Sus scrofa: one gene and its partners. The protein of the gene in region 2 purifies or fractionates together with the protein of the main gene of each other region. This does not show direct contact. Links are inferred from orthologs where the notes say so. Each region holds a gene or a part of one and is shown on either strand. Other genes may lie near its edges.

Region 1 (4,219 bases), on a different chromosome or scaffold from region 2:
GGGGAGAAGAGGCGGTGAATATTCCAGTAGGGGGAACAAGATATGTAAGAGCTCTATACAAGACCACGGATAGTTCCAGAATAGAAGGAAAGCCAGGGTACTACCAGAGTAAGGAGAGTGGCTCGAGATAAAGCTGAAGAGGCACGTATGTGGTTTTCAAAATAAGTTAAAATTTCAATTCTAGAACGTTGAAATTTCTTTGCCCTATTTCTTTCGTGTGTGTGTGTGTGTGTGTGTGTGTGTGTGTGTGTGTGTTTAGAGTCATACCTGTGGCATATGTAAGTTCCCAGGCTAGGGGTCGAACCAGAGCTGTAGCTGCCAGCGCACGCCATAGCCACAGCCACACCAGATCTGAGACACTTCTGTGACCTACACCACAGCTCACGGCAGTGCCAAATCTTTAACCCATTGATCAAGGGCAGAGATCAAACCCCCGTCCTCATGGATACTAGTCGGGTTTGTTGACCACTAAGCCACGACGGGAACTCTTCTTTGTCCTCTTTCTGATCTCAGTAACAAACCATTTTAGTAACTGAATAAAAAGTAACCTCAACTGCTCCTGGTGTGATCAATAATTCTTGCCCCTAGTACTACAGAAATACTAAGTCCATTAACAGCTATAATTAAACCTACTGTGTGCTGACCACTATGTGTAATGGACTATATGGAAATTTAAATGAAATTTTCTTAGAGCAATTAACTACCTATTTAGATGTTGGCAGTGATGTTAACTACATTTGGGGCTAACACTGAAAATGCATACTCCTTAGACCTCTTCATAAATCTTCCCCAGCAAACATTTGCTCTGCTAGGATATTTTAGCTCAAAGTTAATTTTCTTTCTTTCACTATTTTTGCCTTTAAGTCTGGGTGCAAGATGGGAAATGGAGAAGAAATAATCAACAGTACCTCTGTGCCCGCAATTCATTCTAAATGTGGCCTTATCTTTAGATTGAATAGCCTTATTCTGAGAGATGGATATGCCTTCAGGACACCCTAAAAAAATTACTTTATTTCAAACATACCAACACACCAAATGCAGAAGTCCCCAAGTGCTAAGAATATACTTTATCTTTCCTCGTGAAGAAGAAAATTGGTCACATCAGGATAGCTGCAATCTCTGTAACCTTCTCAAACTTCCTCCCATCCTCCTCCAATTACTTACAAAGATCCATAATGTGGTTCCTGCAGATGGCACAGTTATCAACCACAATATCCCAGGCCCAGAGGGCTACTGCATTCCACTGCAAAGAGAAAAAGGGGGAACAATGCATGCTACTCTTTTAACACAAGCGCACACGCGTGCACACACACACACATACACATACACACACACACTCCAGGATTTCATCCTGTAGTTATCACCTTTTTGGCCACAAAGACCACCAAACAAGAGTTTCTGGATGTTACATGACTCTTTTTTTTAAAATTATATCAGAGAGCATCAGTAGGCTACACGTATGCTTACCCATTCTCTAAACTGTCAACTATATAAACACAAATGAATATCATCTTTTATTTTTTCCTACAGTTTAATTTAGTCAGCCATATCAATATAAATAAATCAGGAATAATTTATAAGTGTCGGTTTTAGGTCTAATAATCACAAACTTGAATTACTGTGCAGGTTCTCCTGGCAGTTGCAAAAGAGCTCAATTTCTGCATAAATACCTGCTCTTCAAGGCAGCTTTTACGCAGGAATGGACAGGTGAAGGCTAGGAAGAGAATGAACTAAGATGTTGATTGGATCATAAAACGGGTAATCGTAGGATAAGCTGGATAACTACCCAGTGTGAGTCCATAGAACAAGGTCATCGCTTAAATCTTATAAGATTATTTCACAACAAACTCTAAAATTCACTGGAATTTCGTATAGTTCCTATCATCAAATAAGCTGATGTTCTCAACTTTTATATGCTCAGACTGTTATATTTAGCTAGGATAATTTCCTTAAGAGTTTATCTAAAAGTGGTATTTCAATAATTCAACCTCTGGCTTCTGCAATAAATATTCCCAAACTCCCTTTCACCCCCTAATTTGGTGACACGTCCCAAACCTTCATCTCCTTCAAACCTAATTTTCAATGTCTAGCAACTTCTTCAACACTTTTCACCGACAGCTTCAACTTGGAGGAAAGAAGAAAAAAAAAATCTTACTTCTATTCTTCAATATGGCTGCTGGCTGTAACTGAGCATGCAGTGCCCACAATGAAACGCCAAAACGCATTAGACGGGGGAATACCGTCAGGGTTTAGCTAGATGTTCCAGGGATAAAATCTTCCCTATTTGGAATCTTCATTTTGGACAGATTTGTTTTATCTAATGTGGGATGGGCACTTTTCTCCCAAACTGCTGGCAAATCACTGTAAGGCATTTCATGCAAAAAGACACGTTCCACATTTCTTCTTTCCCACTTTACCAGGTTGTTCGCAACTTGTATTCAACCCTCCCTACTTGAAACAATACTTGGGCTCCGTTTTCTTTTTAACAAATTCCACCATGCCTTTTTTTTTTTTTTTCGGATGGGGATTCTGGATATGACCGCAGGACTGGGGCGGCTGTGTAACAAATCAACAGACCTTTCAGAAGAGCCAAGAGTTACACTCGAGAAACTAACTCGGCAGGGGCGAGGGCCAGAGAGGGCTAATGGAGGCCTCGATTAGGCGAGGACCAGGTCGAGGTTCCTCAGAGGGACCCCAAGCTTTGGATAGGGGCGGGGCACGGAGATCACTAGCCCGGTCCTCAGAAGCCTCCAATGCGGTAGGACCTCAGGTTCCCGGCTTGGGCCGTACTGTCCCATCCTCCACCCACCGCAGCCCTCGACTCCCCCTTCCACCCGCCCCACCCTCGCCTTCCCCACCCCTCCACCACTCCAGTGACAGCTCAGGCGCTTGGCTCCTGCATCCAAGTCGCAACCCCGCGCATCTCAATAAGCACCTCCGTGATTGGCCCCTCAGCCTCCGAGCGAAACCAACACTGGCACTGACAGTGGGCCGCAGTCACGCCGATCAACCCTAAGACCCGCCTCCCGGCTTCCTTTGGTGGTACCCGGTCCCCGGAACGCCCTGAAATGAAGCCCTTTCCTCCGCGCCTTGGTCATCCTGGGCCTGCCAGCCAGATCCGCGCCTCTCTAGTTTCCCTGAGGAAGGCGCTGGCGAGACCCAACCTTTTTCACTTCAAAGCGCTTCTTGCCCGCGCCGCTGTTGGTGCCGCTCGGGGTATCCACATCCATCGCTGCCGCCATTTTGGAAACACACGATCTGTCGTCTCGTTACTGCGCCTGCGCGCCAGCGCACGTCTCACTCCCCCTCCCGTCCGGACACCTCCTCCCGCACCCCACCCCTCACTGGCGCGCGAGGGGCAAGTGGGGGCGGAGCGTGTGGCCACGCCTCTTAAAGGCGCTGGTGCTGGTTCCCCCCGCCCCCCACTCTACCCCGCGTCGGCTGGGAGGAGGCGGTTGCCGGAGCTGCTGGGGCGGGGCCGGGCGGGGCCGGGCCGACGCGAGAGAGCCGGGTGGAAATGTTCGAAAGGACTCGCTCTCATCGCCCTTCCTCGGGAAGCCCCCGGCCTCACTCCCTCCGCAGGGGCGGCGGCTGTTTCCTCCGCCTCGGCCGCGACCTGCAGCCCGCGCACAGCCTATCCTTCCCCGCCGCCGCGCAGCTCCAGTGCCCGCGGGTCCTCGTCGCGTTCTTCCGGGGAAAGGGCGAGGGTGGGCGTCCCGCCTCCTGCTGCGGAAACCCAAGACCTCACTCTTAGTGGTCTTTCTCAGATCCTGACCCACTTCTGAGCCCGGCCTGAGGTCCTAGCCTCCTTGGGCCATAGCACCTTTCCAGCCAAAGCACCTGTGCTTTCTATCACCTTCCCATTTGTAGACCACCTCTCCACTTTTTTTTCATCTCTAATCTTGCAGAGGTATGACTGCTAGATCACTCTTAAATCTTGTATTGGCTTATTTGAAATCTCGTATCTTCTCTTAAAAGAAAGCTGAAGAGTAATGGATGGTCTTGACTCCACTGTTAAACCAGAAGTAGGGTTTGTTTCCTTGTCTTAATTTTAAACAGGAAAACAAATCTGTGAAAACGCCGCAGCTTTAACCGGAGTAGAGAGAGAAGACTTGTGAGAGACCTTAAAGTTTTAGTAGGAACACTACCAAGTTTTTCTAAGACCAAGTTTTGTTAAATGAATGATTCCATATCAAGAGTTCTGTCATCTAATTTATTG
Region 2 (3,500 bases):
AATTATAAAAACACTAAAAATAGTTATTTCAGTATCTGAAAGTATAGGGATTAACTTTTATTTATCTGGTTGTGAAAAGGTAGGATTTTGTTTGGTTGGTTGGTTTATGATCAATACCCATACATCACATGCTGGCCTATCACCTCTCCTATTCTAATTACAGATTAGTTTGTAAAACCGTTTTCACTGTCTCTTTTCTCTCTTCTAATGCTTTATAATTTAGCTTCTTTTTCAATTACAATTAAGAGATCAAGGCATTAATTTATTAGTCTCCGTCTCTCATTTTAATAGCTAAAACTTAAAGTTGGGGATGGGGACTGGATTCTCATTTGAAAACATACATACAAAAGGACAAACTCTTAGGTACCCCATTACGTAAAAATTTAAATTTTATCCTTATAGTCAAGGACACTAGGGGGAACTTCAGTAATATGATTAGTGTAGTCAATGTGCATATCTGATTAAGTTTGAGATGACTAAAAACTAAAGATAACATGTTTTAAGTACAATACAGCCTTGTCTACAAAAATAAAAATCTAATCTTCCTCCTGGTTTTAACTTTACCTTCCTATAAAGCTATATCCCCAAAATAAATTAAATTGGTTCACACTTAATCTTTACTCTCCCAGAGCATTAATTATGCTCATTATTTAAAAATTATTAATCAATAGCCTACTCCAACCTCTCTCCCACCTCGTTCTCTTTTTTAAAAAAATGTCTGCCATTCGCCTGTGGTTGTATCTCAACATCATACTGACAAACAACATCTGAAAGGGCTACTGTGGACTTTCTGCCGGTCAGAATGTAGGTCTCAGACCACTTTCAATTTAACAGCTTCCTACCATAGACTACAGACCATTAGAGAAGTTTAAGAAGGGGTTTAATTCTCAGACAATACAAAGAAGCTTTCTATTTGTAGGAAAGCCACTGACTATTAATTTCAAACACACTTAGAGACAGCTTGGCTTCTTCCTAGTCTTCACAGGAAAAATACTATGCAAATCTATATGTTTTTTCCTCCACCTCCAATCCTGAGGCAAATTTGTCCAAAAGTGACAAGCAATGTGAAGATCATGATACAAACATGCCTATTAAAGAGAAAACCAAGGCCAAATTTTTAACAATTAATAAAAAATATCAGACATCTTTTTCCTTTGGTCATCCTCATTTTAAGCAGGTCTACTATGAATGACATCAATTAATTGAGAATCTAAATTATACTAAGCATTGTATTTTATATGCATCATCTACAGTCCATCAAAAAAAAAAAAAAAAAAAAAAAAAAAACCCTGGAGGATGGGTATAAATGGCCCTACCTCCTTTGTGAGCAAAGACACCAAGAAAGGCTAAAGATTAGAGAACAAAAGGGCACAGAAATATACTACTTTTCTGTAGCAACAAAAATATTATACGCTATCACGTACAAATCTTTTTGTAAGTTATTTCCTCTACTTTGAGTATGCTTCCAATTATCTTTTTTAAGGTTATACTAGCCCTGACTAAATACAACTTCTCTGAAATCCCTACAGTAATCATAATCACTCTCTTACATTTCACTGTCTACAGCTTGGCCTGGTTTTTTCACTCCCTGTTATAATAGCAGATATTCTTCTCTATTCCCTTAGGGCCCTCTGCACACTTATATAACATGTAATATCACATAGATTTATTTACCTGTTGCTTTCCCCCACTAAATTTACAATACTCCTTGACAATACCAGTTCTTTCCTCTTTTTTTATTCTTGGCACAGAGGACAATACTTAGAATTTAACATATGTTGAATAATAGGAGGCAACTGAATTGAACTTATTTTTGCTAGCTACCTCTTCATGGCTGATTTGTTTTTTAAGTTTACTCAGCTTGCCATATAAAGATTAAAAATTCCCAAATAAAGAATAAAGAGTTATGGAAAAGCAATGTTCTCCAAGATGTCTAAAAACTTCCACAATGTCAAAAATGCACACTTTTACTTTACGAATAGAACTTTCCATAAATCCAGCATAAGAGGCTAGATATGGATATGGAAATAGGAATTGAGATATCTTAAGAAGTCCTGAATGTGTACCTGAGATACGAGACATCCTTGTAGAAAAGTAACATTGCTCTAAGTCTTCAAAATGAGCAGTGAGTCGTTTTCGTCTTGATGCTAATGTGCTGTTATACCAGGGCTGTTTCTTTGTCTAAGGTGATAACAAGAAAAGACACTTGTAACTTAGAATAATTCATACTGTCTTTCATCACAGAATATCCAAATGCTTGCATATTTTTGGTAATTTGAAAAGTTCACACTAAAATAATTACAAATTGTTAAAAACTCAATAGTGATTAGACATATTTTCCAATTCTTATTTTAAAGGAAAAACAGCCCAATTTTATAAGAATAATATAAGAAGCTTCTTTCAATTCTCGAAATTAAATGAAGATAGAATCCATTATGACATTCTAAAACTTAGGATTTTGAGAATTTTAATTTTTAGTAATTGTTAGAAAACAATTACCAAGAGAAAACTAATTACTTTTTCATCTCCTTATATTGCAGCCCTATACCTTTTGAATAAGAGGAACAGCACTTGACTGTACAGAATAGGTACTTAATATTATTAGGTTAAGGGGCCATTAATATGTACTAAGTTTGACATATACATTAGAATAGAATAAATCATACATATATATATATATTGATAGCAACAACAAATCTGAAATACATTGGCATAAAAATCATATAAAGAACAAAAGTCTATGATCCTAAATATATAATACCAACTCCATGCTAACTAAAAGGTATGCCAATTCTTCCACAAATGGTTATTACCTACTTTGCTTGGTTATCACCTATTACGCTTGAGGCACATTAACAGATGAAGAAATAAGAAATATAATGAGACCCTGAGATGACACAAGTTAACAATAATCATACCACAACTGAAAATGTATTAAGATGCATTAAGAAATATTAAGTTGCTTCTTAATTAACAAATAATATTTCAGTTACTACCTAAATATTCATTGAATTAATTAAAAAGTAACTTAATAGTAGTAACACAGATAAAACATTTATCTAAAGTAAACTCCTTCTAAGAGTAGACAATAAGAATTATATTTTAAAGAAGTGCTTGGATCACAAGAAAAAGAGTCAAATTCCAAAGAGATAAACAGCCAAACAGTAAACTGCACTCAGAGAGGTGACAGTAAACAAGATATAACAGAGTAGAAAGAGAAAGAAGGAAATTCTTGAATTAAATTGAAGGACAAGCAGATTCAACTGCAAAAAATAGAGAGAGAGGAAGAAGGAGAGGATAATCTAATTTGGGGACAAATACCTACAAAAGAACAAGTACTAGAATTGGAGAATAAAAAGAGAATTTGTAAATTGAAAGATAAATCTGAAAGAATTAACCAAAATGAATGTATCTGAAGAGTTGATGCTGACAATTTTCCAAAACTGAAAACATACATTGACAGAGACATAGAAATTATTTCTGTCAAGAAGGATAATTAA
Region 3 (3,500 bases), on a different chromosome or scaffold from region 2:
TGCTGCCTGATTTTATATGTATGTGTAAAAAACAAATCCAGTAATCCAGTTGCTGTGGCTGTGGTGTAGGCTGGCAGCTGTAGCTCCGATTCAACCCCTAGCCTGAGAACCTCCATATGCCGCGGGGGCGGCCCTAAAAAGACAAAAAAACAATAAAAAGCAAGTCTGTAATCCAGTTGCTCTGGTATATGCAGAGTTGCCCAAAATCACTACCCCCAAATCCCAGATCATCATCCTGAAAAGAAACCCTACACCCAGTCGCAGTTACTGCCTATCCCGCCCAGTAATCTATTTTGTGTCTTAATGGATTGACCTATTCTGGGCATTTCATATAAATGGCATCAGGCAGTATGTGGTCTTTTATGTCCGGCTTCTACTGCCCCAGCACAATGCTTTCAAGCTTACCCCATCTTGTAGCACATCTCAGAACTTGTTTTCTTTCTTTTTTTTTTTTTTTTTGTCTTTTTAGGGCCGCACTCACAGCGTATGGAGGATCCCAGGCCAGGGGTCCAATCGGAGTTGTAGCCACCAGCCTACGCCAGGGCCGCAGCAACACCAGATCCGAGCTGCGTCTGCAACCTACACCACAGCTCACGGCAACGCTGGATCCTTAACCCACTGAGTGAGGCCAGGGATCAAACCCCAGTCCTCATGGATGCTAGTCGGGTTCGTTAACCAGTGAGCCATGATGGGAACTCCAAGAACTTCATTTTTTAATTTTTTTTACAAGTTTGCCTTATTTTAAGAACATGGGCACCCTTAACCCCAGAAAGATTATCATTCTTCTGATTGATATCCACTGTATGGATATACCTTTTTTTTTTTTTTTTTTTTTTGTCTTTTTCCTATTTCTTTGGGCCGCTCCCGCGGCATATGGAGGTTCCCAGGCTAGGGGTCGAATTGGAGCTGTAGCCACTGGCCTACGCCAGAGCCACAGCAACACAGGATCCGAGCCGAGTCTGCAACCTACACCACAGCTCATGGCAACGCCGGATCGTTAACCCACTGAGCAAGGGCAGGGACCGAACCCGCAACCTCGTGGTTCCTAGTCGGATTCGTTAACCACTGCGCCGCGACGGGAACTCCCTATTTTTAATCCATTCATCAATTGACATTTGGGTGGTTTCTATTGTTTTCCACCTCCTGTTTTCCTTTTTTGTTTGTTTTTTGCGGGGGGTTGGGGGGCCTGCACCCATGGCCATGTGGAAGTTCCCGGGCCAGGGACTGAACCCACAACACAGCTGCGGCCTGTGCTACAGCTGGGGCAACGCCAGACCCTTAACCCACTGAACCACGAAGGGACTTCTTCCACTGCCTGTTTTTGCACATACCATGTTATGGGAACGCAGCAGCACTGTTTTGTTTACAAGCCTGTCTACGCTGCTTTCATGGTACAACAGCCAAGCTGAGTGGTTGCCACAGAAACCACGTGGCTCGCGAAGCCTTAACTATGTACAGTCGTCCCAGGGACGCTCTGCCCCCCTCCGCTGTCCCACACACAGTCCAGAGACAGGAGAACGGGGAGGATGGGGAAAGGGGAAGCCGAGAGACTGGTTTTACTCAGGATGACTAAGCTTCTGGAACAGAGGGAGGTGAGACGGGTTCTGGGCTTGGAGGGAGGCGCTCCCGGGAGAGGCCGTGCGGAACCCGAGGTTGGGAACTGCCGGAGCATCAGTGACACGGCGTCTCAAGCGACAGAGCCAAGTGTGTCCAGAGGGAGCCAAAACAAGCTTGGTGGTTCTCCAAAGCAGACTGGGGGCGGGAGGGGGGTGCGGGGAGCAGGCCCGGGGCCTAGGCCCAACCCGGGGCGCTGGCACTCACCTTGACCACACGCTTTTGCCCCAGCTGGTTCTTGCCATCTGGTCCGACGGGGTCGAGGATCACGCAGTAGTTGTGGGGGCCTAGGGTGGTGATGGCCACGACGCCTACCACCTCCTCATAGACATCTGGCACGTGGGCCTCCGTGTCCTGCACAGTCACCAGCCACTCCTCCCCCGTGCGGCGCACCACTCCCCGCAAGTCTCGGAAGTTCTGCCGGGCCCGGAGGTGCAGGGCTGTCTGTAGAGCAGGATCGCGGCCGGTTGGTGGGGTGGGGGTGGAGGTTGGGGAAACCCACTTCCAATTCCTCGGGGGATCTGGGGACCCCACTGGCCGCTGAATGCTCCAGGTCTGAGTGACAGTGTCTACCGACCCAGGAGGACTCCCTAAACACTGTCAGGCGACCTGGGATTAACTCCTATTTTTCACATCACCTGCCACTGTTCTCTGCCACCCTGAGAAGCTCCTACCCCGAGGTGCCCCCCACCCCCAGAGCACAAACCTTTTCTGTGAGGATCACAGCATTCACCACATCCAGAACCTCCTCAAACACTGCTGGGAGATAGGCACCCACGGAGCGGACCAGCCATTCTTCTCCTGGGCCAGGGCGGAGAGGCAAGGGTCAAAGGTCACCCAGCCTGCTCCCCAGCTGCCCCCTCCCGCAGCCTAGACAACAGGGGACCCACAGGACCTCACAGGCCATTTTCAAATGTCATTGCTCCCAGGCTCAAAGGCCTGGCAGGATTTTTTTTTTTTTGGTCTTTTTAGGACTGAGCCCCTGGCATAGGGAGGTTCCCAGGCTAGGGTTTGAACTGGAACTGCAGCTGCTGGCCTATGTTGCAGCCATGGGCAACGCCAGCTCCTTAACCCACTGAGCAAGGCCAGGGATCAAACCCACATCCTCATGGATACTAGTCAGGTTCTTAATCTGATGAGCCACAACGGGAGCTCCTATTCCTTCTTTTTTGAGGGCAGAAGAAAACCAACCTAAAAAAAAAAAAAAAAAAAGGCCCTTCCAAGCGCCCAAGCTGTGGCTATGCCATATGGCAGATGGGAATCGTGGGGCCTCAGGGTGGTTGGAAGCATAAGGAAGTTACCACCATTTGCAAAACATTTGAACCACACCCGGCGCAGAGTAAGCACGGCCTTTGTCAAGACTTTGGTTAATACATCACATTTGTCAAGCACCGTTGCTCCTGTACGTGGACACCTGCTCTGTTGATGTGGGAAGAGACACGGCTGCCGCTCCCAGCTCCCAGCCAAGGGTAGGAGGAAGGCAAAGCCATGTCAACATGATTGTGGTCACAGAATCAGGGCCAGGGTGGAGCAACAGGCGGGTGAGGGCGGTGGGTGGGGGAAGCAGCAGGGGGCAGCCCCCAACAGCTTATTAGAGACACCAGGAAGCACTTCCTCCAGGCTGCGAGCAGCTTCCCCAACCTTCCCCACTTCCCCTGCAGTCGGGGCACACGGCCTGCCCCACCCACATCGGCGCCCCTCCAAAACCCCACCTGTCACCCTCTCCTTGCCGTCCCGGTCCCAGCATTCCTTGCGGGCCTTCAGCCGCAGGGCCTGGTTCTGCTTGATGACGGAGGCCTGAATGATCTGCACCACCTCCACCTCCTTCCGGGGAACATACGTGCCTGGGAAGGGAAGACGACGTGGAAGCTGAAGATCGAAGCCAT
Region 4 (3,500 bases), on a different chromosome or scaffold from region 2:
AGGGGTCCAATGGGAGCCATAGCCACCGGCCTACGCCAGAGCCACAGCAATGCAGGATCCGAGCTGCGTCTGCAACCCACACCACAGCTCACAGCAACACCGGATCCTTAACCCACTGAGCAAGGCCAGGGATCGAACCCGCAACCTCATGGTTCCTAGCTGGATTTGAAAACCACTGCGCCACGACGGGAACTCCTCATTGGTGTTTTTTTCCTCTACTGTGAATATCATCTAGGTTGCTATGAAGTATTTACAGCAAATACATGTTTCTATTGATCCTCTTCAGTACAAACCACAGCAAGGAGATAACTAAATACATTTTAAGTTCAAGGAATTAACTAAGAGTTTAACTCACTTTTACCTGTTTGAATTGAATCATGATGTCTTTAGAAAGTTCCATGTCTTTAAACATTCCTTCAAGTTTGCTGGTGAAAGCAGCTCCACATTCTATTAAAGATGTTTGTATATTTACAGTATTTTAAAGTGGTAAAAACAAAGAATTTAGAATAAAAAACATGAAATATAAAATTCACTTTAGCATGAAATATGACCTGTAACTACTCCTAAGAATAAAGAAGTCCTTACCCCAAAGTGTATGCCCCACTAATTCAGAATCAAATCTTTAATCCTGTAGTAACCTTATCTACTATTTAGGCATAAGATAAATGGGAAATTTTTATACAAATGCTAAAAATAAGATCAATGCTTTATTTTTTTAAAAAATCACAACAGCTCTGTTTGTGTAAATAGGTTGGAAACCTCATAAGCTTACTCACTTTATGTTTTCATCATACAAACATACAATGATTGACAAAAGAGACAACTGACTAAAAGAATAAAAATTAAGCTTAACATTTCCCCTCAGACATCAAAGAAGAAAAGGAACAGAAAGAATGACAAACATACCATGCTTAAGTTTGGACAGCATTGATTTTTCAGCATCTACAGATGCACTCTTTCCAACTAAAAGGCGCTTGGCTAAATCTTTCTTATAGAAGGCCTCAAAAACATCCTTGCCTATGTTAAATAATAAAACACAACTCTCATAGTAAATATTTCAACAAAAGGTTCTGAGAAAATTGCTTCAGAGTGCTTAATAACACCATTTCTCCAAGTTATTTAAATTTATACATTTACCCACGTCTGCTAAATACAAGAAACATTACAGGTAGATTTTTGTGCCAGACATTTCAAAAGCTCTTTGCTGTAAAGAATGAAGACTGAATCAACTTTTCTTTAGAAAAGCTTTAGTCGACTATTAGCTTTAGAATCAGTACTCTAGAGATTAAAACGAGTAGCAAAATTCAAGGTTTTTTTCCCCCACCCCCAACAGACACATGTGGAAGTTCCCAGGCCAGGCACTGAACCCAAACCACAGGAGCGACCTGAGCTAAAGCAGTGACAATGCCGATTCCTTAACCTGCTAAGGCACTAGGGAACTCCTCAAGGTTCTTTATAGTAGAAAAGTCAAAGCACAAGGCAATTAAGTAATATTCCTTGAGTATCCCAATAAATTAAATGCAAGAAATATTATAGAATTTTAAATATCTAACCCCCAAATAAATATACCTTCCAGGTTGATTATACTCTCTAGTTTCTCTGTTGAGTGTTTTGTTTTAAAAGAAAAATACTAAAACAAAAATACATACCATAGATAAATCTAAATATAATCATAATCTTATCCAACATTTTCTCAAGTTCTTCATCTGTAGCTTCTTTGTTTCCTGCACGAAGCTTTGAATCTACATACTTAGCTAAAATGGGGAGAAAGTTTATTGTTTAGTGATCATGAGCATCCATGAAGTACTGGTCACTATATATTCCTAAATAGGAGTATGATATACTGAGTTTTTCAACACTTCACAGGTATACATGCATTTTTAAAAAGTCTCCAAATTCAAGATCAAGTGACTTGTTTAATTTCATAGAGCTAATAAATACCAGAGGGTCAACTCAAACCCAAATCTTCTGGCTCCAGATCTAATGTACTTTCCACCATACTGATGCTTACTAGAATGGGGAATGGGTATCCGGCAGGGATACTCTGTGCTGGGGCTGTCAAAGCTCCTGAAAGACATGGCTCATCTTCTTGAGTATCCATTTTATACTGATGGTCGGCAATCTTAAACACCACTTTTTTCTATTTCTTTTTTTTTTTTCTAAAGCCACACCCACAGCACATGGAAGTTCCTGGGCCAGGGAGTAAATCTGAACTGCAGCTATGGCAACGCTGGATCTCATAACTCACTGCGCCAGGCCGGGGATCGAACCCACACCTCTGCAGCAACCCAAGCTGCTGCAGTCAGATTCTTAACCCACTTTTTATCAGAATTAAATTATCTACAATGAAAATAATCCCAAAATCATATTTTACATAGGTACACAAACTTTAAAATCTCAAAAAAATTAAAATAAAGCTGTTTTGAAGTCAAGAAAAGAAAAAAATAGTGATAAAAAACCCAGTCTGATACCATTCATCTATACCATTCATCTATAATCGCAGTGCACCACAGTAGGAACTCCTTATAAACACCAGTATTCTATTAAAACAAACCAGATACATTACAGAGTAGGAAGCAAAATTTGCAAATTTTAAGTGGCAGACCAACAAAATTTTACCCTTTTGGCAAAGAACCTTCTCGAGTACCTCTCCCATTGACATTAAGGGGTACCCAGTTAAGAAAAACTGAGAAGCACTGCAGTATACCATACCCTTTTCTCTAAATGGGCCCAGATTATTAGGTTTGTTTTCATCCTAGACATTATTCCTTTCTCATTAGCAACTATAATTTTTGCTATTTCCTGCAGCACAAATTTTGTGCTAATTCCTATAGCCCTATGTTTAGGCCTCTAGAAACAGCAAGCTGCCTCCACCTCTAAATTGCTGCAGGCTTGTAAAACAGCTATAAAACTTATTATAAAAGTAAATAGGGTCCCAAAGAAAGACCATCATGTTTGACATGTGGGCTTTGAGGTACTCTTTAGCTTGAAGGACTTATTCCTTGCATCTAGAGTCTTAGAAATCACCACCTAAGTAGAACAAACAATCCAAACATTTATATGGAACCACAAAAGACCCAGAATCACCAAAGCAATCCTGAGAAACAAAAACCAAGCAGGAGGCATAACTCTCCCAGACTTCAAGAAATACTACAAAGCCACAGTCATCAAGACAGTGTGGTACTGGTACCAAAACAGACAGACAGACCAATGGAACAGAATAGAGAACCCGGAAATAAACCCTGACACCTATGGTCAATTAAGCTTTGACAAGGGAGGCAAGAACATAAAATGGGAAAAAGAAAGTCTATTCAGCAAGCATTGCTGGGAAACCTGGACAGCTGCATGCAAAGCAATGAAACTAGAACACACCCTCACACCACGCACAAAAATAAACTCCAAATGGCTGAAAGACTTAAATATACGACAGGACACCATCCAACTCCTAGAAGAAAACATAGGCAAAACACTCTCTGACATCAACATCATGAATATTTTCT
Region 5 (3,500 bases), on a different chromosome or scaffold from region 2:
GCCAGGAGCAGAAGAGGTTGTGGGTGTGATTCCTTTGCTCTTTGGACGAGGTTGGCGCGGCTGCGTACAGACACCGAGGTTTGCTCACCCTCTGCCTCCCTCCCCAGGACGCATCGGATAACCATCACCAACTTCTGCCTCGGGAAGCATCTTGTGAGCGAGGGGGACCTGCTGAAGGACCAGAGGGGGAGCCCGGCCTACATCAGTCCAGACGTGCTCAGCGGTATGTTCAAGGTGCCAGGCAGAGGCCCCGAGCCTCACGCAGCCAGGTTCTGCAGCCATTCATACAAGCAGGATCTGAATCAGACTGTGTCTGTGGGAGGGCCTGGGCCAGGTGCTGGGGTTTCAGTGGTGGCCCAAACCAGTGCTGTCCCTCCAGGTACAAAATCTGGGGTCTTATGCCAGAAAAAGCTGGTAATCATCACTAATTCTCTCTGAGATGAGCGCTTGGAGAGGAAGAAGCGCTTATCTCTGTGTGTGAAGAATGGGCGCTCAAAGGCCCTCCCTGGGGAAGTGGCCTCTGAGCTGAGATCCTGAGAATAAATGGGAACCTACTAGGGGCTGTGACTGGGCGGAGGTGGCACTGCACATTGGAGAAACCACCAGATGGCCCCTGAGATCGCTGCTCAGGAAGTTCAAGGGGAGGCCAGAGAGGTGGCTGGGGGTCCAACCACACGAGGCCTGATGGAGGCCTGTTTCGAGTACAAAAGGAAGCCCTTGACCAGGTCTTCACTGGGGTTACCGTGAAGAGGTTTGCATGTCAAAGACCTCACTCCTTCGTTCGTTCATTCACTTCTTCATTCTGCTGGTATTTACTGAGGGCCTGCCATGTACAAGGCTCTGTTGTAGACACTTTGGATACAGCAGTAACCAGGCAGACAAACATCCTGTCTCCGTGGATGGCGAGCTGGCTTTGCGGTGGGGCTGAGGCAGATAATACACAAAAGAAGTCAATCGTGTACGTGGTACCTGCCGACCCAACCGTGAGGTGCCGGGCGCTCTACTGAGAATATACCTTGCATCATCTGTTTAAAACCACACTGCTGCCCTGTGAGGTAAAATTTCTACAGATGAGAAAAACTGAGGCTCAGAGAGATCAGACCTCTTGTTCAAAATCATAGCTAATAGTAAACCAGAAAACAGGCTCTGTCCCAGGGCTGCCTCCTGCCCAAGCCCATGCACCTGTCTCCTCAGGCTTTCTCTTCTATCTTGCTTGTCCTTTGCCATATTGGAGTCCCTCCGTCCTCTTCCCTCCAGGGACCAGGGACTCACATCTGCTCCCATCCCTCCAAGGCGAGGGTCTCGGGGCTGTCCCCAGGGCCCGTTATCCCTGGCACTCACACTTGCGCTCCCTCCTCAGAGGCAGAACCTCCTCCCCAGGTGTGTGTCTTCCCGGGGAGCAGGCTGTGTAACTTGCCCCAGGCATTTGCAGTCCTCTTGGAGGCCTTCTCCCGGCTGAGGGTTCTGCCGGGACGCCAGGCCTCTCCCGTGGCTACCACCGCAGCGGGCAGTGGTGCCACTCTCCCAGCCTGGGGGTTTTGGTTGGAGTCACTCTGGCCTCCGCTAGAAGGATCTGGGTGCCAGGGTGCACCCCAACTCCCTGAGTACCCCTCCCCACCTGGCCCAGCCCAGCCTGGATACCCTCCATGAGAGTCCTGAAAGAAACTCTGTAGGTGACAGAGCCAGGAGGCTGGACCAGGTCCCCCCTCAGCCCAGAGCCATGCAGGCCTGGGAGTGGACGGGCTACTTCTGGTTGGGCCTCCTCAGCAGCATCAGGCTGGGGTAGCTGCTGTGTGCCGTCACTCCACCTTCCTCTCTGGTTCTTCCAGGCTCGTGCCAGTCTCAGAATGAAACAGAGGAACCCCCTGCATCAGAAAGAGACCCGGGCTCTGGACTGGCCTTGCTAATTACCAGCTGTGTGACTTGGCCTCAACCCCCTCTCTGAGCCTCAGGCTCCTCATGGGTTACAAGACAAAAATAGTCCTGCCTCCCCACGTCGTCAAGACGATGAAGTGGGCTGACTTAAGTGGGTTCTGATCCTGGGTCTGCAATTTCATTGGTTCTGTGTGCCAAGCACAGACTTCAGCACCAGGTGAAGCTCTGACATGGCAGGCCTGGCCTTGCTCTCACAGTTCATAGTCTGCTTAATAACTCCGCGACCTTGGGAATGTTACCCACCTCTCTGTGCCTCTCTTTTCTCATCCAAAAAATTGGGATGATAATAGCCCCACTTCAGTAGGTCCCTGTGGGATTAAGTAAGGCCTTAACCTAGTGCCTGGCTCAATAAGCATTAGCTGGCATTGTCATTATGCAAAGGAGAGCCTGAAATTCTGTGTTTCCTCAAAAGCCAAAGCTGCAGGGAAGGTCAGCAGATGGTTGGGGCTCCCAGGAGAGCTTGTCTGCTAGGCCGTTTACCGCCCCCGGGGTCAGGGCCGATGTGGCAGGTCTTGGCTCAGGCTGACCTGGCAGCAGTGCTCGTTCCTCCTTGGCCTGCAGTTCAGGCCTCTTGACAGGAACCACCTCACCTTCTAGCTGCTGCCAGGGACACACTGCACTTTGTGGAGCCATGCAGAGCTGAGAGGACTGGCCCAGTGGACTTGTGTTGGTGACCCTGCTCGGGGAAAAAGGGACTGCCCCCGAGTTGGCCTTGGGGTCAGGACACAAGGTCACCCAGGCTTCTCTTTGGCATTAAGGTTTGGAAAGGGCTGGGGGCCTTGCAGCCCCAGGGAAACCAGGCGAGAGGCTTGGCTCCAAGACCTGCCTGTTGTCCCGGGTTGGGCAGAAGTGTACAGCCCACAGTAGTGAGCTGTGAGGCCAGTGTCAGTGTCATCCCGTCCACAGATGAAGGAGCTGGCTCGGAGAAGGAGGTCCGTGGGGCCCCCAAAGGGCAGGCCGAACCCTGTGACAACACTGGTGTGCACATGAGCACACGCCCACCCTGTTAAACCTCCTGACCTTCAGTGGTCCTCGTGAGACCTTCAGCACCAGTGCCCCCCACCCCAAAGACCTCTCCAGCCACCAGAGAAGGGATGGAGGTGAGCTGGGCACTCCCTGGCATGCGGGGAGATGACACTGAGGCGCCTGGCAGCGCCCCTTACACACCCCTAGGAGTTGCGTGGTGTTCAGGGGTCTGGGCTGCCTTGGGCCTGCTGGCATACCAGGTGACACACTGTCCCACAGTCTGGGTGGCAAGAGCTTCTGAAAGGCTTGAGTTATTCTCCTGTTTCACATTTGGAGCAGGTCAGGCAGCAGCTGACATGTGGGAGAAGCTCTGCCGTCATGGGTGTGGATGGATGGATTGTCCTAAAAATTGGAGATCAGGGCTTTTGCAGTCAGCCGTGACCTTGGACAAGTGACATCCTTGTGCCTCATTGTACTCTTTGGAAAAATAGAAAATATCTAAATCATGGAGTCATAGATTTAATGAAGAGTGATTCTTGCAGCTCTCTCACGAGTAGGTGCTCCATTAAATGCCTGCTCCTCTCTGTTTCACAGCCAAG
Region 6 (3,500 bases), about 35 Mb from region 2:
CAAAAGTTTCCACAGTTCCCCTTAGCAAACTGAAGCTCACTCTTCATTTTGTCAATGTGTATAAAAGCTGCTTATAGCATAGCATGGCATAAGCTACTTTTTAAGCAATAAATGGTTCGAGTCATCTATTTTGTCCTGAAATGCTACCTGTAGTTAACTGCATTGCTTATAAATGGTCATAGTAATTTCAGCGTGAAAGAGAGTATTACAGAAAAGACAGCAGCAGAAGCATTAGCATTATCTAATATTTATATATGTTATCAACATAACACAGCAGTAAAAGATTTAAATGCATATCAATGGGTACCATGTCTAAAAATTACTATAGTACCTATTTAGTGTATTGGATATTTTTCTTAAAGAGTGCTTGCTGTATCTAGAACAGCATATTATGTGATTTAGTACAGTTAATTCTTATTGATTAAATAATGTCTTTATGTACTGAAGGAAGTGAAAGGAGACAGAGATTTTTTACTTCATTGTGATCCCAGATTTAACATTTAAATGACAATCTCAAAGGACCAGGAAAAATATCATTACTTAATTGAAATGGCTTCAAAATATTTAAACGACAGTATGATTTGTATCTAAACAGCAAGGTGGCACCAGATACATGTACTGCTACTGGCCTGTGACTCAGTTGGGAGCCAGAGTCCAAAACTGTGCCCCTCATTTACAGTCATGTTAATTATTTCAACTTCAGAGAGAATTACCCCATTTTATGGTTATCCTCTGTGAGTCATACATAAAGCAAAACAAAACAAAAAAACAGCAAATGCAATCTCTAAATACCTTTTTACAAGAGGTTCAAAAACAGTCATTTCTAACAATTAAACTGCCTTTTACAGTAGTTTTTTTGTTTGTTTTTTGTTTTCTTTCTTTTTTTTTTCTTTTTTTTTTTTTTTTTTTTTATTTGTATACCTTGCGGAGACTCAGAAAAGACAGGGGAAAATGCCCAAGGCAAATAGTCTCCAAGTGGATATTTACACAATGTGAATTAACTGTACCATAGATACCCAGAGGAAATGAACATTTTCTATGTTGTTATGAAATCAAATAAACATGATATAGCTTCATCATACTTTAAAACCTGTAGGACCCCATCCCAAGCCTAAGTAAAAAGTAATCCCCAAATCCCCCCTCCCATTCACCCATTATCTTCCTGTTACACAGAATAAATGTTTAGATCACTCCCACCCACCCTCAAATAAAGTGCACAGTCCATGGCAGACCATAGAATAATGCAACAGGAAAAGCCCCTTTTTGTGTATTATTATTTAAAAATAAAATACAAACAACAAAAATCAAACAAAGATTGAAGAGAATTCAGAGATTCTCTGCATCTTGCAAGAGAGGAAAAGCGCGAGGAGGCCCCTGACTGTCACTTCTGTCAATACACGTAGCCTTCGTTGTAGGGATGGGGGTTGCAGCAGCCCCCTTCTGGCATGTAGGCCATGCTCTCGTCAAAGTGAGACAGAGGCACCGTGTCCTCTTCATTGATATGACGCTCCATGTCCGTCTTCAGCAGCGGGCGCTGATTATCTGGAAAGGCCATGGAGAAGAGGGCTTCGGGGTCACACACAAATTTGTAGACATATCTCTCTCCAGCCACCTGCAGAAAACATGTAACAGAAAAGCCATCCTTATGTAGGTGCTGGCTGGGAACCAGACTTAGTGTTGTGAGCATTTTGCAATAGATACAAATATCCAATCATTATGTTGTGCATCTGAAACTACTATAAGGTTGTATGTCAATTATACTTCAAAAAAAAAAAAAAAAACCCTCACATTCACTATCCCTAGGGGAAGGGCAGGGAAAGAAATGAACAAAAACATAGTTTAATACACCAGAAAGGATGGCTAACAAAACAAAGTAACTAAGCACTAACAGAGATACATAGGGGGAAAAAAATCCTCTATTTGTAGGGTAAAATGGTTCAATCCAGGCAAATGCAAAATGTTGAGCTCAAGTAATAACTACATTTATTCCAGATATAGCTAGAAAGCTTATCAGTTTGCTTGTTTCAATACAAATGTAAACTTACATTGTTATCTGGGGGAAAACACCAATGATTTCATGTAGGCATCTCACTTTGAAATGTCTTTCCCTCTGCTTTAAAGGGTAATATCTAAATTACCTGATAAAATAATCAGGTCTTTAAAGTGTAGTGTCTCCCTCTTAACATTACATTTCTAAAACTGCAGAAAAACCAAACTTCCCAACCATAAAAGAAAAATGTATTGTGTTCCTAATAAGGCTAGTCGATTCACTGATTCACAGGGTGAACTGTTCTTTTTCTTTACTTTTTAAAAAATTTCCACTGTATATTCTCAGCTAAAAAAAAGATACATAGCCTTATTTAAATGAAAGATGGATCAGGAGGGTAGCATTATCTTGGGTACATCACTTTAAAAAATGAAAGCAAGATGCATTAGACAGAAGTTAAGGATGTGTATAAAGTGTCAAATTGAAGCAAGAGGTGTAAAAAAGTGAATTTAGAATACACAAGGCATAGGGAGGAAATAAGAAAAAGAAATATGACAGCTGCCTGAAATAAAAGGAGAAATAGTGTAATTTGTAGGAAATGACATGCCCCAAACTTAAATTTTGAAGAGTAATGCTTCTCTAGGAAATTAGAAATAACTGAGTGACACAAATATTGCCCCACCCCTGCTGGCAGTAGCAGACAATGCTGAGCTTCTCCAAACCTCAGGGGGGTGAGGGAGGATGGGGCAGGATAAATACAGTTCTTTGTAGCAATTTTTTGTGTATATGTAGAGTTCAGTAATTTTAGAAAGTGAAAATCAACTCCTCTGCTAGTTGCTGTGTGATGCGGGGGATGGTGAGTTCCTTATAAACTATCTGTGTATGTTTGGAAAGAAAAGAAACAACTACCAATGGGCACTTCTGTTATGGAAACAGATTTAGAACGTTTTCTGGCCTTGATTTTCTTTTTTTTTTTTAACTCTGCAAGAGGAACCAATTTAGAGAATCCAAATACTCTGAATATCCTTAGCCTTAAAAACAGCCGATACTTAGTTTTTATGAATTTGGACATGTTTCTTAAAATGCCCTCAGTTCTCCTTTTTTTTGAAAGGGAGGCAGGAATGGCTCCTTAAAAACTTATTGCAAGACTGTAATGGAAGTCTCTAGCACAGTGTATGGCAGACAGAGGGATCTGGCATAAATTGATTCACTTTAGTCCTTTATAAAAAGGAAATTAAGTTCACAGAGGTGAAATGGTGAAACTGCCATAAAAGTAAAAATAAGCCATGTCAGAAACAAAGCTAAAGATACTAAATCCAAGTTTCCCTTTTTTTCTTTGTTCAAAGAATTTTGAGGAAAAAAGTAAAACAAAGAGCCTGCATACCTGGGAGCATTTAATAACCTGCTTTGTTTTGTTTGCGGCTGCCGAGAAGTAGGCATTTGCTGTAGGCTAATGGAACTTTTTTTGTCTAACCTGTTGCTATTGGTTTTAATTACAAATGGCTTGATAACT
Region 7 (4,001 bases), on a different chromosome or scaffold from region 2:
TCAGCAGTTAACGAACCTGACTGGCATCCATGAGGGCGCAGGTTCCATCCCTGACCTCGATCAGTGGGTTGAGGATCCGGCATTGCCCTGAGCTGTGGTGTAGGTCATAGACACGGCTCGGATCCAGTGTTGCTGTGGCCCTGGCATAGGCTGGCAGCTACAGCTCCGATTGGACCCCTAGCCTGGGAATCTCCATATGCCGCCGGTGCCGTGAAAAAGAGAGAAAAGACAAATAAATAAATAGATAAATAAATACTGAGAATGTGACCGGAATCTGAATAGGAAATGTGTGCATTTCTAGCCATGGACTCAAGTATCTCCTGCTAAAAATGGAAACTCTGGGGGGGAAGGGTGACGGTTTTGACCATAGTTGGAAGTCAGATAGCCTGGAGTTTCAACCCTGAATTTCCCACTCACACGTCCTATGACTCGGCAAGTTATTTACCCAAAGGGCCCATTCCCTCATGTTTAATGTGAGGACAATTATCCTGAGAATGAGCCCAGGGAAGCTCTTTCAAAGGCTGGTTCCTACTAAGACACCGCTCAACTCTAGGGGGCGCCACTTCCTCGGAGGCGGTAGGAACAGGGCTTCCCGGAGCAGAGGGGCGCTCTGTGACCCAGAAAAGGGCCCACCTTGTACGTCTATCATGTCTTTTAGTGTCTTTTCAGGACAGAAGAGTCAGAAGTCCACGAAGAGGTCCAAGAATTGGGCCAGAAATAGTCCCTTATGACCCAAGCCCTGTGGCCGCTCGGTGGCACCAGCACTGCTCCAGTCCTGCCAGGACAGGTTTTGGTGTTAAAGTCTCCGCACCAGCGGAAGAAACCAAAGAAAGACTCTCCTTCTGAGCTCCCGGGACACACACAGGGCTCGAGTCCTCGGGGTCCCCGGCCCACCACGGCCCCCCGAACCGCAGGCAAGGGACAGAGCCCAGTGACAGCGGGCGCCGAGCGAGGCCGGGCTTGGAAGGACTGGCTCCGCCCCCTGCTCTTCTCCTCCCCCCGCCTCCACTCCGCTCCCCTCCCCTCGGCTTCCCCCCTCCCCTGCTCCCGCCCTCTCGCGACTTTGCTCCCTTCTCCACCCCCACCCCTCCCCTCCCGATCTCCTCCCCTCTCCCCTCCCCTCTCGCCTTTCCCCTCCCCCGCCCCCCTCCTCCCCTCCCCGCGGTCGCCTCCCCTCCCTCCTCCGTCCTCCCCCGGCTCCTGAAGAGCGCGCAGCGAAGGGGACCGGCCAGTTACTTCCTCCAGCGGCGGCGCGGAGCGCGGTATCGCCCCAGCCCTGAGCTCCCGGAGCCCGCCGCCCGCCGCTCCCTGCCGGCTCAGGCCTGCCGAGCGCCCTCCCCGCGTCCCGGCCCCGCCGCCCGCGCCCTCCCCGGCGCGCACCGAGGAGTCCGGGCCCCGAGTCGCCGGCCGCCCTGCCCGAAGCGGCGCGGTAAGAGCAGGGTCGGGCCGGGTGGGCGGCCAGGGTCCGGCAGGTCCGGCGGGGAGCGCCCTCCGGGCCCCGGTTCCTCTGCCGAGGGATCCAGAAACGGCGTGGAGGACGTGGGTGGCGCGGAGAGCCGGATCCCAGGGCGCAGCCGGGGTCCCGGAGGGGTGGCGGCTATTCCTAGGATCCAGGGGTCGCGCTTCTGAGATCCGATCCGCTCAGCTCGTGGTATGGATGGCCCAGTGGCTTTGGGGGCGGCAAGTGGGGCGCGGAGTGGGCCCGGCGATGACGCGCGGAGCCGGCTGCGAACTTGGGCCGCGGTTCTGGGGTCGCCGAGCCGGCTGGGGCGGGCGGGGCGCGCCGACTTGTTTCACTTGCTTTTGTCTTAAAAGGAAACGCGGGCGTGGTGGGGGGCCCTTGCCAGTGGGCGCCTGGGAGACCTGATATCGCGAAGGGGCTGGGGGACGCCGGAGAGGGTGTCGGAGGGGCCCCGGCGCGCCCGGGTTTGTGGGTGACTTACTGGAGGGCGCCGGGCCCGGGCAGATCGGGGTCTAGGGGCGCATGAAACACCTTGGAAGCTACGGATCCCCGAAAACAGGCGGATCCCAACCCCCCGGTCACCTGCTCCGCCACGTCCAGGGCCCGGCCGGGGCGGCGGGCGAGGGAGGCGCCGGGAGGGTCCTGGCGCTCGAGCGAGACCCCCGTGGGCGCCCCAGGTCCTCTATATCTCGGGCCCTCGGTCCTGCTAGGCGAACCTGGGGAGCCAGTCGGAAGTGGGGATGTAGGTGCGCCAAGCTGCCTTTCCCGGTTCTTACAGCATTTTAGATGAAGAGGTAACAGCGATTGTGCGTGTGTGTTTTTTAAAGCACAAGAGATTTTTTTATATTATCCTGTATTCAATTATAGGGTATCCTAAAATAGTAGTTGACGTGCGACTTATTTAGAAAGTAAAGAAGTGAGCCAGTCCCCCCTTTGGATTGAGAGGTAATTTATTTTAATTTACCACTGAGAGATGATGTTTGTTCCGCACAGTGGAAGCGCCTGTGCGCCCTGTGCCTGCCCACACCACCGCCGATCAGAGAGAGAAATCTCCCAGTTAAGGTTTATTAAAATTCTGAATAATATCACAGTACAATAAATGTTAGCGCTCTGGGTCCTGCAGGAAAATAGCTGAACACTCATTTCGGGAATTAGTCATTCCTGACTCTATAAATTGATAACCTTCAAAGGAAAAAGCAAATCAATCTTCGAAAGTGCGTTTTGAGGTTTTCTTTTTCTTTTCTTTTCTCCTCAAATTTACCGAAATACAAACCCGTGTTCTAATCTCGCAGAAGGAATCACTTGTCCCCCGAGGGTACCGTTGGCCGGCAAGTTTTGCTTGTTTAAAAATGTTATCCTTCTCAGCCCTTTCGTGGCTGCCATTTCCCGTTTGTGTTGTTGTAGTTCAAAGGCAACAATCAGGAGGGCACCCCCCCCCCAAAAGACCTAAATGTGAAATTGACTTAGGATGTGGAGAAACTTGGCCTGTCTGCCACCTTGACTGGCCTCGTGGAGTCAAAGACGGGAACTTAAATTTGATTAGTTATGTGTCTGCCAGAAACCATTGGTAGCGCGCTTTGATTCTACATGGTTTTTACAAAACAAATTAAAAGCTGGACAACAAAAGAATTCTATTCTGTAGCTAGTAATTACAGCTCTCTGTGTGGGAGGGGTAGACTGCCTTTCCTCCTGGTGTTTGTACACAAAAACCAGGCGAGGCTTAGTCCATTGCCCTCCACGTCCATTCTCTGCGAAGCTGAAGTGTGGGATAAAACTGGACGAAGAAGATGGATAACTGTCCACATCCTTTCATTCGGCTCCTGTTTGAAGCTTGTGAATGTCATCAGCAGGTGACAGGACGTAGTCGACCCAGATAAATGGCAGAAAGTTCCATGAACCTTAAGGAGCATTTCAGGTAGTAAAGTCTCACGAGCAGGAACCTTGTCTAATGAGACTTGGGTGCCATCGCTGCTTTTTTTTTTTTTTGATGAGCTGGGAGAAGGGCCCCGGCCGCATCCCTCGGGTTAATTGGGCTCCTGGAGGAGCGAAGGAGGGAAGGCCATCACCGGCCTGGGACTGGGTCTGCGCAGTGCCCCTTCGATGCCCCTGCTGTCGCTGCGTCCTCCTGCGCCAGGCACCTGAGGTCTCTGGATCTTTGTTGCCTCGCGGTGAGAGGTTACATCTACCTCTCAGGGCTCAGGCCTTTCAGCCAGCTGGGCTGGTGGGATCGTCCAGCTCAGGCTGAGCCCTTAGCCAGGGCAGCGATCATCCGTAGTGAGTACTGATCTTAAGGGCCTGTGGAGGACACCGTCCGATCCATCAAGGGGAGATTCTAAGCAAACCTGATCCCTTTTGATCCAGGACCATCCCTCCTCCCAACCCCCACCCTCACCCCCCACTCTTATTTATTGTCTAAGCTTCCAGCCTCCACTGGCAACCACGAAAATTCCCCTGCGTTCTGAGGGCTGTAACAGCTGCCCCCAGCGCCTCGGGCCTCCCCGGTGGCTGTCACTGTGCTGTCCTCCTCCCATGGGGCTTG

The links.
Region 1: the proteins of RFWD2 (region 2) and RBX1 purify together in Homo sapiens (affinity purification with western blotting; 3 studies listed by BioGRID, with this or other methods). This does not show direct contact. The link is inferred for Sus scrofa from reciprocal best matches to the Homo sapiens genes COP1 and RBX1.
Region 3: the proteins of RFWD2 (region 2) and MVP purify together in Homo sapiens (affinity purification with mass spectrometry; 3 studies listed by BioGRID and IntAct, with this or other methods). This does not show direct contact. The link is inferred for Sus scrofa from reciprocal best matches to the Homo sapiens genes COP1 and MVP.
Region 4: the proteins of RFWD2 (region 2) and CUL4B purify together in Homo sapiens (affinity purification with western blotting; 4 studies listed by BioGRID and IntAct, with this or other methods). This does not show direct contact. The link is inferred for Sus scrofa from reciprocal best matches to the Homo sapiens genes COP1 and CUL4B.
Region 5: the proteins of RFWD2 (region 2) and STK40 purify together in Homo sapiens (affinity purification with mass spectrometry; 3 studies listed by BioGRID and IntAct, counting the BioPlex papers as one, with this or other methods). This does not show direct contact. The link is inferred for Sus scrofa from reciprocal best matches to the Homo sapiens genes COP1 and STK40.
Region 6: the proteins of RFWD2 (region 2) and ETV1 purify together in Homo sapiens (affinity purification with mass spectrometry; 4 studies listed by BioGRID and IntAct, counting the BioPlex papers as one, with this or other methods). This does not show direct contact. The link is inferred for Sus scrofa from reciprocal best matches to the Homo sapiens genes COP1 and ETV1.
Region 7: the proteins of RFWD2 (region 2) and ETS2 purify together in Homo sapiens (affinity purification with western blotting; 3 studies listed by BioGRID and IntAct, with this or other methods). This does not show direct contact. The link is inferred for Sus scrofa from reciprocal best matches to the Homo sapiens genes COP1 and ETS2.

The regions. Positions count from the first base shown.
Region 1 is NC_010447.5:7,512,065-7,516,283, forward strand, and holds the start of RBX1 (E3 ubiquitin-protein ligase RBX1), read right to left. Parts: upstream 2,801-4,219; 5' UTR 2,226-2,800; coding exon 2,156-2,225; intron 1,715-2,155; coding exon 1,671-1,714; intron 1,244-1,670; coding exon 1,165-1,243; intron 1-1,164. UniProt on the Homo sapiens protein: E3 ubiquitin ligase component of multiple cullin-RING-based E3 ubiquitin-protein ligase (CRLs) complexes which mediate the ubiquitination and subsequent proteasomal degradation of target proteins, including proteins involved in cell cycle progression, signal transduction, transcription and transcription-coupled nucleotide excision repair.
Region 2 is NC_010451.4:118,016,769-118,020,268, forward strand, and holds part of RFWD2 (E3 ubiquitin-protein ligase RFWD2), read right to left. Parts: intron 2,182-3,500; coding exon 2,067-2,181; intron 1-2,066. UniProt on the Homo sapiens protein: E3 ubiquitin-protein ligase that mediates ubiquitination and subsequent proteasomal degradation of target proteins.
Region 3 is NC_010445.4:18,070,048-18,073,547, reverse strand, and holds part of MVP (major vault protein), read right to left. Parts: intron 3,459-3,500; coding exon 3,327-3,458; intron 2,416-3,326; coding exon 2,321-2,415; intron 2,059-2,320; coding exon 1,822-2,058; intron 1-1,821. UniProt on the Homo sapiens protein: Required for normal vault structure. Vaults are multi-subunit structures that may act as scaffolds for proteins involved in signal transduction. Vaults may also play a role in nucleo-cytoplasmic transport.
Region 4 is NC_010461.5:98,682,083-98,685,582, forward strand, and holds part of CUL4B (cullin-4B), read right to left. Parts: intron 1,755-3,500; coding exon 1,650-1,754; intron 1,018-1,649; coding exon 907-1,017; intron 448-906; coding exon 356-447; intron 1-355.
Region 5 is NC_010448.4:92,446,364-92,449,863, reverse strand, and holds part of STK40 (serine/threonine-protein kinase 40), read left to right. Parts: intron 1-107; coding exon 108-223; intron 224-3,500. UniProt on the Homo sapiens protein: May be a negative regulator of NF-kappa-B and p53-mediated gene transcription.
Region 6 is NC_010451.4:83,324,043-83,327,542, forward strand, and holds part of ETV1 (ETS translocation variant 1), read right to left. Parts: intron 1,613-3,500; coding exon 1,391-1,612; 3' UTR 1-1,390. UniProt on the Homo sapiens protein: Transcriptional activator that binds to DNA sequences containing the consensus pentanucleotide 5'-CGGA[AT]-3'. Required for olfactory dopaminergic neuron differentiation; may directly activate expression of tyrosine hydroxylase (TH).
Region 7 is NC_010455.5:202,463,140-202,467,140, forward strand, and holds the start of ETS2 (protein C-ets-2), read left to right. Parts: upstream 1-1,201; 5' UTR 1,202-1,429; intron 1,430-1,632; exon of another isoform or gene 1,633-1,651; intron 1,652-4,001. UniProt on the Homo sapiens protein: Transcription factor activating transcription. Binds specifically the DNA GGAA/T core motif (Ets-binding site or EBS) in gene promoters and stimulates transcription.